Diceros bicornis minor: one gene and its partner. The protein of the gene in region 1 interacts with the protein of each later gene in a biochemical or structural test. Links are inferred from orthologs where the notes say so. Each region holds a gene or a part of one and is shown in the gene's direction. Other genes may lie near its edges.

Evidence for each region. The genes of interacting proteins can lie anywhere in the genome.
Region 2: the proteins of SELP (region 1) and CD24 form a complex in vitro, tested with the Homo sapiens proteins (2 studies listed by BioGRID and IntAct). The link is inferred for Diceros bicornis minor from reciprocal best matches to the Homo sapiens genes SELP and CD24.

What each region holds. Positions count from the first base shown.
Region 1 is NC_080743.1:96,116,797-96,125,026, forward strand, and holds the start of SELP (P-selectin), read left to right. Parts: upstream 1-4,600; 5' UTR 4,601-4,695; coding exon 4,696-4,698; intron 4,699-8,230. UniProt on the Homo sapiens protein: Ca(2+)-dependent receptor for myeloid cells that binds to carbohydrates on neutrophils and monocytes. Mediates the interaction of activated endothelial cells or platelets with leukocytes. The ligand recognized is sialyl-Lewis X.
Region 2 is NC_080749.1:66,398,521-66,406,451, forward strand, and holds CD24 (signal transducer CD24), read left to right. Parts: upstream 1-5,097; 5' UTR 5,098-5,174; coding exon 5,175-5,414; 3' UTR 5,415-6,774; downstream 6,775-7,931.

The sequences.
Region 1 (8,230 bases):
AAACATACGTTCCCCAGCAAACTGACCAAAACTTCCCTTTGTGATCAAGGCGATTTTAACCCAGCAGACTCAGTGACAGAAGACCTTGCCCTGAGATGTGACAACCATGTCCTGACAGGGATATGAGAAGTAGGTTGATTTAGTTTCACTCTTGATTCATCTTTAATTACCAGAGCTTTTGAGCATAAAATACCCACAGAAAACAAAGAGAACAGGGTTAGAAGGACCTCTTCTTCTCTTTCCAGAAAGCACTTTTTAATGAGTTTAATGGAAAAAACTCCAGATTTTAGCGTAGTATTGTTTCAGCTGGACTTGAATTTGAATCCCATTTTTTCCATTATCAGCTCTGTCATCTAGAGCAAGGCATTTAACCCTGCAAGCCTCAGTTTCCTTTTTAATAAAACGTGTATCATAATAATCTCTGAGTAGACGGACCAGCTATGCAGATAGAATCTACCTCATAAAGTTGTTGCAAGGATTAAATGAGAGATAGCTATTAAAATGCTTAGCATATGGTCCGGCCCAAGAATAAGTGCTCAGTAATGGTAGCTCATAATCGTAATATCTCTCCTTCACTTCCTCAGTGACTTTGAAATAGTCTATTCATGGTATTCATTTATAAATAGATCACCCACTTAATTGTGTTTCTAGTGTTCTGCTGTATGTGATAACCTTTCTGTGGTTATCATAGCTTTCTGGTAATCAAAGGGCCCTAGACACAATATGCTTTTGGAAGAGTAAAAATACTTTTAATGTGAAAAACCACTTCCTAATTCATCTGCTGAGTTTAGAGTATTATCCGTATGTGCCTGTCCAACCACTGAGCTTGCACAAAAGAATCTGACTTATTCCACCGAGCTGAGGTCATCTCCTCTGAGCACCCTTTCTGACCACCTCTCCACTGCATGATCAGACTGAGGTAGCCGTCCTCTTGTGGGGCTCGCACAAGAATGTGTGTATATACTCCCTCCTCCATATTGTTCGTAACTGTCTGTTTCTATGTCTGGCTCTCCCCTGGCCTTGAGCTCCTTCAGGCCAGGGACTGTGTTTATTCATTTCTGTGTCTCCAGAGCATAGCTTAGATGATAGCACAGAACAGGTCCTCACAAAAATGTGTAGATGAATGAATGAACTCCTGGATGGGGCTAAGTGGGCATAAACATGGTAACGTGGAGTGTGTCTTGAGAATTCGATTTCTATTTAAGGATACGTGAGTGGACAGTTTTGTGAAAGTTCATGTTTATTGTCTGATTGTCTGAGACCTTTGCCAAGATGATTTGTTTCTTTGCCTTTCCTTCCCTTTCAAAAACTGGAGAGCAAAGATAGAGAAAAGAAACACTTGAGTGGAATACCACAGACCAATTTCCACAGAATTTCAGCAGGAAGAGTATGTGTAAGATATCACGAAACTTGTGTAAGATATTTTCTTAAAATTATACAGGGAGAGCTGACATCTTTGTCCATGACAGTGTCAGCCATCAGGGGAGGGACAGACACTTGGGAGTTTTTTTAGTTGTAACTAGAGCAGAAATATATTTTAAAATGTCAGGAAGGTTTATGATATACTATCAAATGGAAAGCATTGTATTGAATGTACCTGAATGCACAACGTGCTAACGGTTCCCTTGGAGACAGTATTACGGGTGATTTTTTCCCTTCTGTGTGCTTTTCTGAATTTTCTTTTTCTTTTTTTCTTTTTTTAACAATGAACATGTATTATATTAAATGATAAGGAAAAAAAGCTATATGTTCTCTTTTTTAAATTCTGACTTGTCATCCTACAGCCTTTATGTAGAAAGTTCTCTAGTCTTCTCTAAGTAGAGGGACCACCTGTGCAGCCGGCACTTCCCTGAGGAATTAACTGTCTTCTCTACGACCCCACAACAGACAGTGTACATGAAGACACAGCCCTAACATGGCCTGAAGACCCGGCGTGGTCTGGGTCCAGCCTCCTTTAGGGCCCTGCAGCCACTGAGACTGTCTGAGGCTCCCAGGCTGCTCTGAGCCTTGACTGGCCTAGAATGATCCCTCACCCAGTGTGGTCACGCTTACTCAAAATTTTTTTTTTACTGAAGTATAGTTGACATACAGTTTTATATTAGTTTCAGGTATACAACATAGTGATTCGACACTTACCTACATTACAAAATGATCACCACGGCAAGACTAGTAACTATGTCACCATACAAAGTTATTACAATATTATTGACTGTATTCCTTATTCTGTACATTACATCCTTGTGACTCATTTATTTTATAAGTGGAAGTCTGTACTCCTTATTCAAATGAAGACCTCAGCTCTAAAGTCGCTCTCCCCAGGGAACCTTCCTCAGGTCAAGTTCCCATCATACCCTTTCATTGAACCACACGTTCTTCCCCCTGCATTTATTTGTGTGACTTTTATTTAATATCTAATGCCTCCCCTACCTGCCCCCCAAAAAAGACAGCAACCATGAGCTCCGTGAGAGTTTTGCTAACACACTGCTAACACACTGCTGGGAGCCCAGAAGGGACTTAAATGTTTCTTGCGTATATAAATGCACTGCTGTACTAAGATAAATAGAATCCAGAGAGGAAGATGGGAGGGGGCACTTTCATTGTGTCTATCTAATCCCAGAGTTGTCAATCTAACTAATGAATCAACAAGTATTTGTTAAGTGTATATTTGCCTTCAGCTAGATACTCAAGGAGAAGCAAGACTAATATAAGAAAAGGTCCCTGCCTTCTAGGAATTTAGATTACAATATGAAGAGATGAGAAAACATATATGAGACAGATAAATAACACTACTAATTAAACTATATTGGAATTATATGATATTTTTAATGGCCGGATAATTAGAAACAACCTAAATTTTCTACATAGACTATATCCATATGAGCAAATGCTATTCAGCCTGAACAGCTTTTAAAGAAAGTCAAATGGTATTTTCCTCCCATTTCTATTCCTAGGAATACTTTTCTACTTCCCTCGTATTCCCTAAAATTTAGCATTATCCAACTTAAAACACATTATTAATAAGAGCCTATAGTCTACATAGCACCTTCTCTCAGACCTAAATTTCCCCGAGAAATTAAAAAAAAAAAAAAGCTGAGGCAATGCCAAAAAGAGGTACTGGAGAGTGAAATAAGAACAGAAGGCAGTGGAGGTAAGTCTTATAAAAATAAAAGCTAAACTTACCGTGAAATTACAGTGTGCCAGCCATTGTTCTAAGCACTTCACATGTAAACCCTCTTAATTGTCTTAACACTTCTACGTGGTGATGCTTGGTGACCATTATCTTTACTGATTAATATAGCTGAGGGAACTAAGTCACAAGGAGGGTAGTCACTTGCCCAGGTCACACAGCTGGGAGGTGGTGGAGCCAGGCAGTCTGGCTCCAGGGCTGGGCGGGAACCACGGCATCATGCTGCCTCCCAGCTCCCCATTCTCTCCTCTTTCTCTACATCCCTTGTTCCCCTCCTATCATTCTTCCATCACCACCTCCTTCACCAGGCTTTCTATTTCTACTTTGTAATTAATCCCTTCCTCTTGGTCCCAAATTCCTAAGGGCAAATGCAGTGCCAAGCTTCTTAAACCATCTTTACCTTTGGACATCCTTCTAGATCTTTCCAATTTATTCTGTTTTTAATCTATCCACGAGATGCCTACTTACAAGCTGTAACAATCATGGAGTGAATGAAAAATAACACCCACCACCACACAACGAGAATTCCAAGAGGATAAACTGGAGTTGTGGTTTTCTGACTTCACACTAAATACTTGATACTTGATTTTGCTGTCTGAAATCTGAAAAGTAATAATAGTAGCTTACATTTGTCGAGTGCCAACTGTGCGCCAGATATTGTTTCAAGCACTCTCCATATATTAACTCCTTTGATCGCACAACAACCCTGTAAGGTAAGTTGTGTTATTATCATTCTGTTTAGTTGAAAAAACAGAGGCATAGAGAGTTCAAGTAATTTGCCTAGTGGAGAGCCATGCGTGGAGCCAAGATGGGTCTCAGGCAGTTTAATCTAAGCCCAAGTCAGTGCCACACAGCCTTTTACTCCCACACACTAACCGTCCCATCTTTATGATAGAAGGAACAGAAGTTCCTTTCTAATAAAGACCCATGTCTGTTTTATATTTCACTTCAAAATTGTTTCCAACAATCACCCCCAATTGCCAGAAAACCCTCAGTGGCTTTTTCCTTTCCTACCTAATTACTTTTTGTTACTATTTTTGCTCCTTTCCTTCAGAAGCCTGCTGGAATAGTAAATATTCACTGAGATTTCCCAATAACTGGAAAATTTACACTAGGACGTTATGATTAAGACAAAGTGTGTTTTCCAAATACATGACCTTACATTGGGGTTCACATCATAATCAAAGGAAACCTGACCCCTGGGGGTGTGGGGGCTGTTCCTGCGCAGCTCAGCCTCAACGTCCAGGAGTGACTCACACTTGTCCCTGCTCCAGACCATCCTCCATGGAAGAGGGCGACTCCTGCCCCCTCGGTGACTGCTGTTTCTATGCTGCCAGCATTGCTCCTGTATTATCAACGTTCTAACCGCGTGGGAAGGGCTATGGTGAATTTCTGGAAAGTGAATAGGAAGTTGCTTTTCTAAACAGCCTGACACTGACGGGAGGCAGCGAAACTATAAGAAGTCTGGGTTGGGCAGACAGCAGAAAGCCAGCGGAGTCGCAGAGGAGATGGTAAGTTCATTTCTCTTTCCTATGGGAAATGGATGAGCTGAAGTGATTTGTGGGTGAATCAGGCAGGTAAATGTTCAGAAAGTGAGAAATAGCAACAGTTATGGAGCTTTGTGTTGAACAGCCCTTTGGAGTATACATTTCAAAACCTGCTGTCCACTTTGACCCTCCCCACATCCCTGTGAGTGGAGGTCGTTATTTCCATTTTACAGAAGAAGCCGCCGTGCCTCACAGAGGCTGGGTGCTTTACCTAAGGCTGCATTCGCTGTTGTCTGAACCCGGACTCCTGTCCTCTGGCTCCACAGTTGCTGTTTTTCCTATCAGGGCTTTTGGAGCAGATCTTGGTAAACCCTCGACCCTCTTCTTCAGGACCGCTCTGCTCTCTGGGTTGAATGCAAGGCTGAGCAAGTGCCCTGGGTCAAGGCTACAGTTGAATGGTTTCTCATCCCCCACGCTCCTGTTTCTTTCTCTGAGCCCTACGAGTTTGCTGAGACTGCTGTGCAGCAGCCACATGGTTCCCATTTCTGCCCTAAGTCTCAATCCTATTAGTGACTCAGTTTCCTCATCTGTAAAATGGAGATAATAATAGTATTTTACTTTGTAGTGTCATTGTGAGGATTAAATAAGATTACACTGAAAGGTACTTCAATCTGAGGCTGGCACATAGTAACTGATTAATAAATGCAAGCTATTCTTGTTATGAGAAAGAGAAAACTCTTGGGGTTTACTGGAGTTTGGGATCCAGGGAAGATCCAAGGAAAAAGGCATTCTTGAACTCATTAACATTATCCTAGATAAGACAAACACAGTTTTACCCCCAGCTTACCAGGAGTATCTCATACAGTTCCGGTGTCCAAAATCCTGCAGCCTGTAGCTAGAGAGGAACCAGACTGTCTCCGTTTTTGAGCCCCTTTCTATGGGATTCCAGAAGAAAGTAGCACTTACATTTGATTTATCCCACCTCTTGCTTTACTGTGGTACACTTTTCAAACACCTGTAATGAGGATGTTCTGTGTCGGGGAGAATAGGGATGAGAGGGCGATGAAGAGAAGAGGAAGGGGTTTCAGTCTGTCGTAAGTCTGAACCCCAATGACGTAAGAATGTAGCTGACTTTTGTCTTCTCTTTTGCATATCATACTTCTGAATTGGTTAACTTAAATGAATGAGCAGTTATTCCCCTCTTCCTTCTCCTCTCTTTGGGATCCTCCTTTATTTCAGAGGTGTGTTAACATATTGGATCATAGAGTCCTTTGAGATTCTGGTGAAAGGTTCAACTCCTGTTCCCATATGAAAACACTAACATCCACATAAACACCAAGCTTTGTGGACAACCGCAGGGGGTTCCCAGACCTCACGTGGGTCCCAGGTTAAGAACTGCGCTCTTGCCTCCTATGCTTTGTGCTCAGAAGCTCCTCAATTGGCATCCTGAAATTAGACTGGAACTCCCTTGAAGTGCTAGGGACTCCAGCCCTGAAATTATTTTAAATATTCCAAAGACAAGACCCCCTCTTTTTCCCTTGAACACATTTAACTTTGGGGGTTCAGGAACCTCAAACTCTGTGTATAATTTGGCTTCAAGTTCAGAGAGTGACTTCAATTGACCTCTAGGACCTGAGGAAAGAGGTTCAAGTTTATCTGGTGGGGTGTTTTCAATCAGGTAGCTCTCAGAGGGGGAGCTCTTGATTGGGAATTTACAGTTAAATTATGCCAATATTTGGCAAGAGGGCGAAGGAGCAGGTCTGGGTTCTCTTCCGTTTCTGCCTTTTAGCCATCTTAGGTCTGTGGCTTCTAGTTCTTACTCTTCCTTCCATTACCTGTTTTTCAAAATGCATCTAGATGATTCCCACTCTTCCCGCTCTGGAAGGGGAAACGACAGCTCTTAGAATGCGCAACTTCAGAATTCTGTAAGTGGAAGCTTATTGTTAATCAAAATCCTCAAAAATCAAAATGACTTACGACACAATAGATAGCACTGAGAAAAGACCCTGGACCTAAGCCTAGAGAGTAGGCACACGCTGGTTTCACAAAGGACATTCATTACGTTGTCTTCTAGGTTTCTAACATCTCTGATCAAAAAGCAAAACAGAAATTTTATAAAGTTAAATACAAAACTAATCCTTTATATTTGTAAGAATATTGCTCTGCCATGGTCGAAAAGACTTAAAAAATTTAGGTATGCTACTTTATTTTTAGTGCTAATATTTCACTCTGAATATTGGCAATCAGTAGTCTACTTTACATATATGCTTTGATTCTTAGAGTTGCTGTCCTGGGCTCCTTCTTGCCTTTATTTCTAATTTGCTGTTTGATTAGAGATCTCTTTTTTCACTGTGTTTCATTTTTTACCTTTAAGCAGGGGCTGCACCAATATCTGTAGCTATACCACCACCACCACCCAGAAACTTAAGGGAAATTGTCAGTCATAACGACTTGTAAAATCTATACTTTGCCACTAACAAGTTGTGTATTTCTGCTTCCTCAGTGACCCTCACATCTACCTACCCCCTTTGCATTCCCATTGACCTCAGCCCAAGCCAGGCTCTCTATAACTCCCACTGGGACTATTACAGTAGCCTCCTCTTTTCACAGCTCAGTATCTTTGCTTCTAATTCATCAAACACACCATTGTTAGATGCACCTGTTCAGCATGCTTCTCTGTTCAGAACCCTGGAAATTGAATCCCTTCTGCTGACTGTCATTTCAGACCCACAAGATCTGGCCTCAACGTATCTTTTCAATTAAACTCTAGGACCTCCCAATTTTCAACATCAATCAGATTACATCACTACCTCTCTTAAAATTTCCCCTGCCCTTCTCGTTGCACTTAGAATATCTCCTCCCCTTGTTTTGGCTCCCAAAGCCCGGCGGGATCTGTCACCAGATCTTCATCCATACTCTCCTTCCCCCTGCTCACTCCATTCAGCCCACGCTGATATCTTCATGTTCTTTGGACTCTCCACACTTCACTTCCACCCTAAAGCCTTTGCATCAGCTTTTTCTTGTGTCTTTAACACTCTTCCTCCTGCTTCTTGCTGCCTGGTTTCTTCCGGTCATTCTGCTCATAGCTTAAATGTTACCTCCTTGAGAGGTCTGCCCTGACCTCCCTGTCTTACATAACCACCCAGTCACTCTATCACATCACCCTGTTTGAATTCTCTACCTAGCACTTATCATTATCTTCTATTTTTCACATTTACTTGTTCCATAGTGTTGTGTATTTACTGGTGTTGGTTTCATTGTCTGTCTCCCTCAATAGAATGTACATTCCGTGAAGATGGAAACTATATCTGTTTTTATCATTTTAATGTGAGTGCCTGGAACAGTGCCTGACACATTGTAGGCACTTAATAAATCAATAGTTATTGAAATAATAATGGGAAAGAACACAGGCAATAACAAAGGAGCACCTAACATGGTATGGGGAGGAGGGGATTGGTGATAGGGAAGGCTCCTCTGAGGAGGAGTTTTTTGGACTTATAGAACTAGGCAAACAAGAAGGAAAGGGTGCCCCGGGCATAAGAAGAACATGGGGAAC
Region 2 (7,931 bases), on another chromosome or scaffold:
GTCCAGAGAAATTATGGAGATAAAGGGAAGCCAACACTTTAACTTAAGGTTTTTTAGGCCATTCATATGACATTCTCTTAAATATAGCTTGCTCTGTATATGTAAAGGCCAGTCTTTAAGTGACCGTCACTTTTCAGATTTAACTTTTAAAACAGTGGATCTCCAATTTTGTTATGAATCAGGATTACTAGGGGAACTTACTAAAATATAGATTTGCTGGTGACTATTTCAGAATCTTTGCAGGTGGGGCCAGGACTTCTGCTTTTGTGAGTTCCCTCAAGGATTCTGATGGAAAACAAAGTTCAAATTTCTTGAAAAGTTGTATTTCTTATTTCAAACATATATTATTTTTTTATTGTCATATTTTGAATTTTTCCAAAAATCTTGACTTGTAGAGAACAGCTTTACACTTGGAATTTGAAATTTCTATCATCAGTGTGCTATTGGTGGAAACAAAATCTGGATAAGATAACAGGAGAGAAGAAAAGACATTTGACTCTGAAATTTATACAATGTTATAAACCAATGTTACTGCAATAAACAAAACAAAACAAAACAACAACAAAAAAAGAAAAGACATTTGATTCTTTTATGGTTACTTAATTTAATGGTCTGGAGAAGAGGGTGAGGATATGTATAAATGTATGACATTGTTTATGAAGTATCCTTTTTTTCTTCTTAGAGTTAATGATATTCAAATTTTTGATAAATTCTTTAGCTCTTAAAAATTAATAATCTTTAAGAAAGAATATAGGTATATTATAGAATGTTAGTATAAATACTTCCTCCAGGCCAAACAAGATATATTTATACCTTTGTATTTGTTTATTATGCAAACTTTTTATTTTTAACAAAAATGCCATTCTAATAGAAGATCTCTGGGAATTTCTAGACATATTGCCCCAGCTGTTGTGAACATTTGGAATTGCCTAGTAACTGACAATAGATTTCCCTGCTACAAATGTGACTAATGGTGTAAAACTGTCCCACTTCTTATGAAGTTCATCTTCAGTTCAAACGTGAAGACCACAGGTTTTGGAGAAAAATAGTATGGCTCTGCAACTTGTTAGCTAGGTGACCTTGAGCAACTTCCTTATCCTTATCTCTAATATAGGGTTAATATTACATATTCATAGAATTTTTGGAAGGGTTAAATGATAACACATACTTAAAGTCTATAGCACAGAACCTAACATGGATTAGGTTCTTTAAAAAAGTTATTTGTCAGCTGCAGAAAAGGCTGGTGGCTAGATGATTACAGGAAAGACCTTACAAGTTCTAAAGATGTTCATTTCTTACTGGAATTCTTAGCGTCTCACAGAAGCTTAGAGGCCTCCAAGCAGATATCAACACAGCTGAGATAATGATTATAACCAGGCCCTAAATAGAGAAGATCAGAAGAATGAGTCATTGGTTCTATAAAGGTTTACTTCTTGATGAATTTAGACTCAATTTGACTTTGTTCTGCATAGAAAGCCCAAGTATACACTATGTACTCTTCCTTACTGAATTTCAGTGATGTAAATATTTTTGTTCAACTCTTCATGGTTGTTTTGAATGCTAAATTCATGCTCTAAGGCATGAGTTAGGATCTAAATTTAGTCACAATCATGGACATACAGAATATAACATGCTTTCAATTTTATTATCTATGTCATCCAAAAGCACTCATTGTAGCAGATTTAATTTTATTTTTCAAGTAAATAGATTTGATCAGCAAAATCAAATGATCTTGGAAACATCAACTTCATAAACATACAAATGAACCTTAACTGTGCTAAAAGCATTTTATTTCCTGAGAATTATTGAACAATGTCTTCAGGCAAAGTTAAATAAATTCACTACAAAATATTGCATCTACTCTTTTTCAATTTACACAAGGCTATATATTCTTATGGAAAAATGATACTATTTTAATATATTTCATTACAAGACTTATTAGTTCATAAACTTTATTCTGTACTACTTACGTTTCAAATGTCTTAAGCATAGAGAAGAAAATTGAATGTTCTACTAGGGGAGATATTTAAGCATCTAAACTTTAATTTTTTGTGTGTGAGGAAGGTTCACCCTGAGCTAACATCTGTGCCAATCCTCCTCTATTTTGTGTTTGGGATACCTCCACAGCACGGCTGATGAATGAAGTAGGTCCGTGCGTGAGATCCTAACCCACAAATCTGGGCCACTGAAGCAGAGTGTGGAACTTGAACCACTCGGCCATGGGGCTGGCCCCTAAACTTTAATTTTATTGTTAAATACATAGGTTTAGGCATTTCTTCAGAAAAAAAAAAAAAGAAAGAAAAGAAAGGTATAGATTTATAAGTGAAGGCACCAAATTCTCTCTGGAAGGGAAACTTCAGAAGGGTTAGAAGAGGCTCAAATACATGCAGCAGGATATAAAACCTCAATGCTTAAATACAGTAGCATATTTTAACAAGTGTTAAAGCATGGGGAAAAGTTCAAGGGTAATGGTCAGTTAGTTAATGTTCACAGTCAAGTTCTGAACCACAAATCCAGTTAATATGTGTGGAACTGATTGTATGATAAACAATAAGTCAGTTGTAAACCACAGAAACGTGTGCTTTAGGTGTAATGTGACAAACAAAGCTAAGAAGCACAGATTTGCTGTGACACCAAATGTAAATAACCTAAAATGCTACAGGAAACTGACGACAGCCCCTTAGTTCCTGACAGGACACTCTGTGTTTAACAATTTAAAAATATCGTCTCTAAAGGCCAGTTAGCTCAGTTGGTTAGAGCATGGTGCTAAAAAAATATCTTCTCACCCAGAGAGGTTATCGTGATTAGCCCACTTAATAACAATACTATTATTAACAATGAGTATTTATTATCTTAACAAGCACACTGATAGATATTTCATATTTATTCTCTCACTTAAATCTTGCAATAATTATCAGATATTCTATTAACCCTATTTTAAAGCTCTTTAAACTGAGTCACAAAAAATTAAATAACTTGCCCAGGTTCACTCACTGGAAGTGACAGAATCAGGATTCAGTCACAAATACTTCTGACTTGGGATCATGCTCTTAACTACTTTAGTCTATTACCTCTCTTTTTTCTTAATTTCCTCAATTTGTAACATTTGTCCGAACAGACTTACTTTCATCATATTTTTATATGAATATATATAACTGCGATCTCACTTTTCTCTTTAAATTTCACCTCTATCTCTCTTCCATTTCTACTTCATTTGCCTTAAAACTTCTTTCATGTTTGTCCACTTTTCCACTATGTTATTAGGCTATAGGAAATATCATATATACATAGACATTAATAATTATTTAATGATAGTTATGAAAGTGGAGCCCTGAAGGACAAATACATGGGCTTTCAATATATGAAACATAAATGTATAAAACTAAGAAAAAATGACTAATTTATTGTATTACTTTTATAAGTATGGCTGAGGCATGGAGGGGATTTGATTAATAGCTGTTTGGTTAAAAGAACAGTAAGCAAAAATTTAGAAAGTAATGTAAATGAACATGGAAAAAATTCTACAAACCATTAAGAATATCGTGGGAATAAAATGAAAGATTGGAAAAGATGGCAAAGAGAAAATATGATACATTTTCAGCTAAAAATTAGCTGAAAATTTGCCAACTTCTAACCTAGCCTAATCCTAGGTTTATTGATCCAATATGCAAATGGAGAAATACAGTGTGATAATAAACATATCAGAAAAGGTTAAATTTTATAAGAAAACAAAGAAATTACTATCTAAACAAGATTCTAGTTATCTTCTATCAAATACACAAAAATTAAAGTAAATGATAATATCTAGTTATGAAAGTATTTAAAGAAAATAAATATTGAAAAGCTCACTCCTACTTTCTGAAGGAAATATTATTGGCATAAATGAAGGGGCAAAGCAGTAATACATATCTGTAGGGGAGGAGAGAACTCTGCTCTTCCTTCTTTGGGTCTCTGGCTAGGCCTAAGAATTAAATTGACATAAGGCAGACTAACAGGAGAAAAGCATACAAATTTTATTAAATTGTTACATGTACACGGCAGCCTTCACAAGAGAATGAAGACCTGAAGAAGTGACCAGAGCAGAGAAGCTTTTGTACCTTATAGACAACTTTAATAATTCTGCTTGCTCCCTCTTGCATCTCTGCCATGGCAGTGAGAAGAGCATGCCCAGGCTAGCCTACTGGTCCCTCTGAAGCAGAGCAAATCACCCCAGCTGAACTCACCCTAGATCCAAAGACCTTCAGCTGACCTTAGCAGAGTGAGAGAGCTAAGATGAGGTCAACAGAGCTGTCCAGCCTTAAGCCGCTGAACTCTGAGATACGCCAGAAATAAATGTTCACTGAGTTCCTCAGTGGTTTGTTACATATCAAAAGCTAAAGCTTATAGACACATTTTAATAAGAAAAATATCCATGCATTGCATTCAAGCATGACAAAGCATATTTGAGGCATAAAGGAAATAATTAACTGTGGTTATTCTGGCTTTATGAATATGAGCAATTTTAATTTTTTCTTCATACGTATGTATGTTTTAAAATATCTATACAATAAGCATGTATTATTTGCCATAAGCAGAATTTTAAATAGAAATGATAATAGATAATAAAGTTATTTATCTTCTTCCATTTTAAAGAGAATAAATTGCTGTTGAAACTTTCTTATTAATCCAAATAAAGTTTTTTCCTTAGGAAATAAGAACTGATTCCAGAAAAGTGATAGAAATAAAAGTACGTGAATCAACTATTCAGTATTATAATCTTTGGATTTAGTGGCTTTTACTGATTGGATTATGGGCACATAAAAATCTCAAGGTAATGCTACATATAGTTTAAAAATAGACTTTAGTTTACTCTTTCTGTTTCCTAGCCAAAATGCAAGTAGTGTGTTTCCTGCCATTAAAAACTTTATCCAACTTTTTCATGGCTAAAAGATAATTTTCCCAGGGATATTCTCTTAGAAAAAGTTGAAATAATGTTTTAAATGCTTCTGTGATACTTGCTGAATGATATTTGAGGCAAATCAGAACCTCTTTGCTTCTGATCTAAAACAGGCGAGATTAGTTCATCCATAGCTTTAAAAATTACCCTGGGAGACCTTGTCTGCGCCCGCCCCGAATCAGCGGTTCTCCACGCACCCAGCCTTCAGCGAGACGTGCCGCGCACCGACGGAGCGGACATGGGCAGAGCGATGGTGGCCAGGCTCGGACTGGGGCTGCTGCTTCTGGTGCTGCTCCTACCCGCGCAGATTTGTTCAGCTAACACTACTACTGTAAACACACTTTCAAGTAACTTCTCCCAGAGTACCTCGGCTGCCCCAAATACAACTAGTGTCACCGCCAAGTCAGGTAGCGGTGCTCTGCAGTCAACAGCCAGTCTCTTCGTGATCTCCTTCTCCCTTCTACGTCTCTACTGTTAAGAGACTCAGGCCAAGAAACATCTGTACTTCTCCATCTTCTAAACCCAATCCAAATGGCATCTAGATGTCCAGTGTGGCAAGGGAAAAAACAGGTCTTCATCAAATCGGCTAATTCCACACCTCATTTTATTGACCCAGAAAATGTTGAGGATCCCAAATTTGATTGGCTTGAAGAGCATGTGAAAGGTTTGACTAGAGGATGAATGCCAGTATTAAATCTGCTGGAGTTTCACGTACAAGATGAAGAGAGACAACCTCCAAAAATTTTAAGAGATGATTTCCTGAAATGTGGCTTAAGAAATATAGACTCATAAAACTCTACCTTGAAAATAAGAATAGATTTTATCTTATCTAAAGATCAAGGATGGGATGTGGAACAGAGATTCAGTTTTCATTTGGTTCTTTAAACCTATGAGGCCATAAAACAGGTAATATAAAAAGCTTCCATGATTCTATTTGTGTGTTCATTAGAAGGAACTTCCAGGTGTTACTGTAAATCCTCAATGTATTGTTTCAACAGTACTAATTTAATGCCGATGTACTCTAGATAAAGTTTTATATTGTTAAGCTATCACTGTTCTCTTGAGAACTGAACTCTTTTTTCCTCTGAGACTTTGGATTTGACATTGTATTTGACTTTATGTAGTAATTGGCATGTGCCAGAATAATGATGGATTGGAATCTACCCTAAATCCAAGCATAATGAGTAAATTTTGCTTATGTACTAATCACCCATATTCAACAAGAGCGCCAGATTCGTTTAACTGAACTGATTCCAAATAGAAGTGCATTGACCTCAACTAGTTTCAAAATGCTTTCTATTTCAGCCTATGTCGAATACTTTTTACAATTTAAAAAGTGGTCTGTTTTGAAGGTAAAATTGACAAATCTTGAAATTAAAAAGGCAAATATGTGAAGGAGCTGAAACTGTAAATCAAGTATTTTAGAAGTGAAGACTGGAAGCTAACTTTCATTAAATTCGGAAAAACTTTTATACTCTTTCTGTAAATACTTTTTTTAAAAACTATGAATCAGAATAGCCACATTTGGAACACTTTCTGTTATCAGTCAATATTTTTAGAGAGTTAGAACCTGGTCCTAAGCCTAAAGTGGGCTTGATTCTGGAAAGTAAATCTTTTCACAACTGCCTCGATGCACAAAAACCTTTTTAAAAATAGACACTCCCTAAAGTCTTTTGTTCGCATGGTCGCACACTGATGCTTAGATGTTGCTGTGTGTGATATGACCACAGTAGTCTTGATAACCAGTCATTTTTTTTTCCATCTTTAGAAACCTACACCAGAACAACAATATCCAACAGATCTCAAGCTACTGTGTGTGTGAATGAACATTCCCTTTTGTTTCATATCTGAATGCTGTACATCTATTTTGGATTGTATATTGTGTTTGTGTATTTATGCTTTGATTCATAGTAACTTCTCATGTTATGGAATTGATTTGCATTGAACACAAACTGTAAATAAAAAATGACTGAAAGAGAAAAAAAAAAAAAAATTACCCTGGGAGATTTTTAGGTTTTGTGGTGTTATTTTCACAAATGACTGTTTCAAAGTCTGAGAAAATTTGCAAGTTATATTTCATATTTCTCTTTCCCTCAATCCTCACATGCAATCCATCAGTAAGTCCTGAAACTTTTTTGCACCTCCACTTTTATCATTATATTGTCAAAGTATAATTTTTAAACTTAGAAACATGACTTTATTACAAATATCAATTGAGCATGTGCCAAACATTTATTTAAATCAAGGAGGGAATTGGCAGGAAGGTAAAGCTGGTTGAAGGAGCATTTGAAGAGAGTTTGATATAGTCTGTTAAGAAAGGCATGCTGAAATAAGTTTGCAAATTTAGGGACAAAACTGGTTAATATCCAACAGGGCAATAAAATTACAACCTTTGAGATTACCTTTCTTCTGGGAAGAAATTATTTACATCTCTAATGGGAAACTACAAGTCAACGTGTAACTTCACGGATTCTTAGCCTTAATCAACAGTAAATAGCATAGCAGACAAAGGTACATACTCTAGGAAGTTAAATTATTCCTGGGTAATCCTGTCAAATAATGCCCCAGTCTGACACTGAAATTACATGCAGGTATTCTATTGATTTAATAGCCGTTTCGAACAATTTTTCTTAACATTTCCCCCTTGGGATCATAAGTAATCTCCAAAGAATATTCTTCATCAAAAAAGGCTGGTCTTCTTGTGTTTTGACCTGATTAACTTACATAGGTTAGTAAAAGGCATTAATTAAACATAGAAGCTTGTCTATAGTATAGTCAGCCAGTTTAGAGCCATTCAGTTTTCAGCAACTCGTTGCCAGAGAATTAACTTCTTTCTAGAGAATGTAAAAGGAAAACATTAAAAGTAACAAGAATATATCAAAATAAATTGTGTTGGATAAAATATGCCCACAAATTCTTTTCTGCTTTTTCCATCAAGTCTTATTTCCTCTTTTTAAACTTGGTTTGGTCTTGTAACTTTCTTTAATCAATAAAA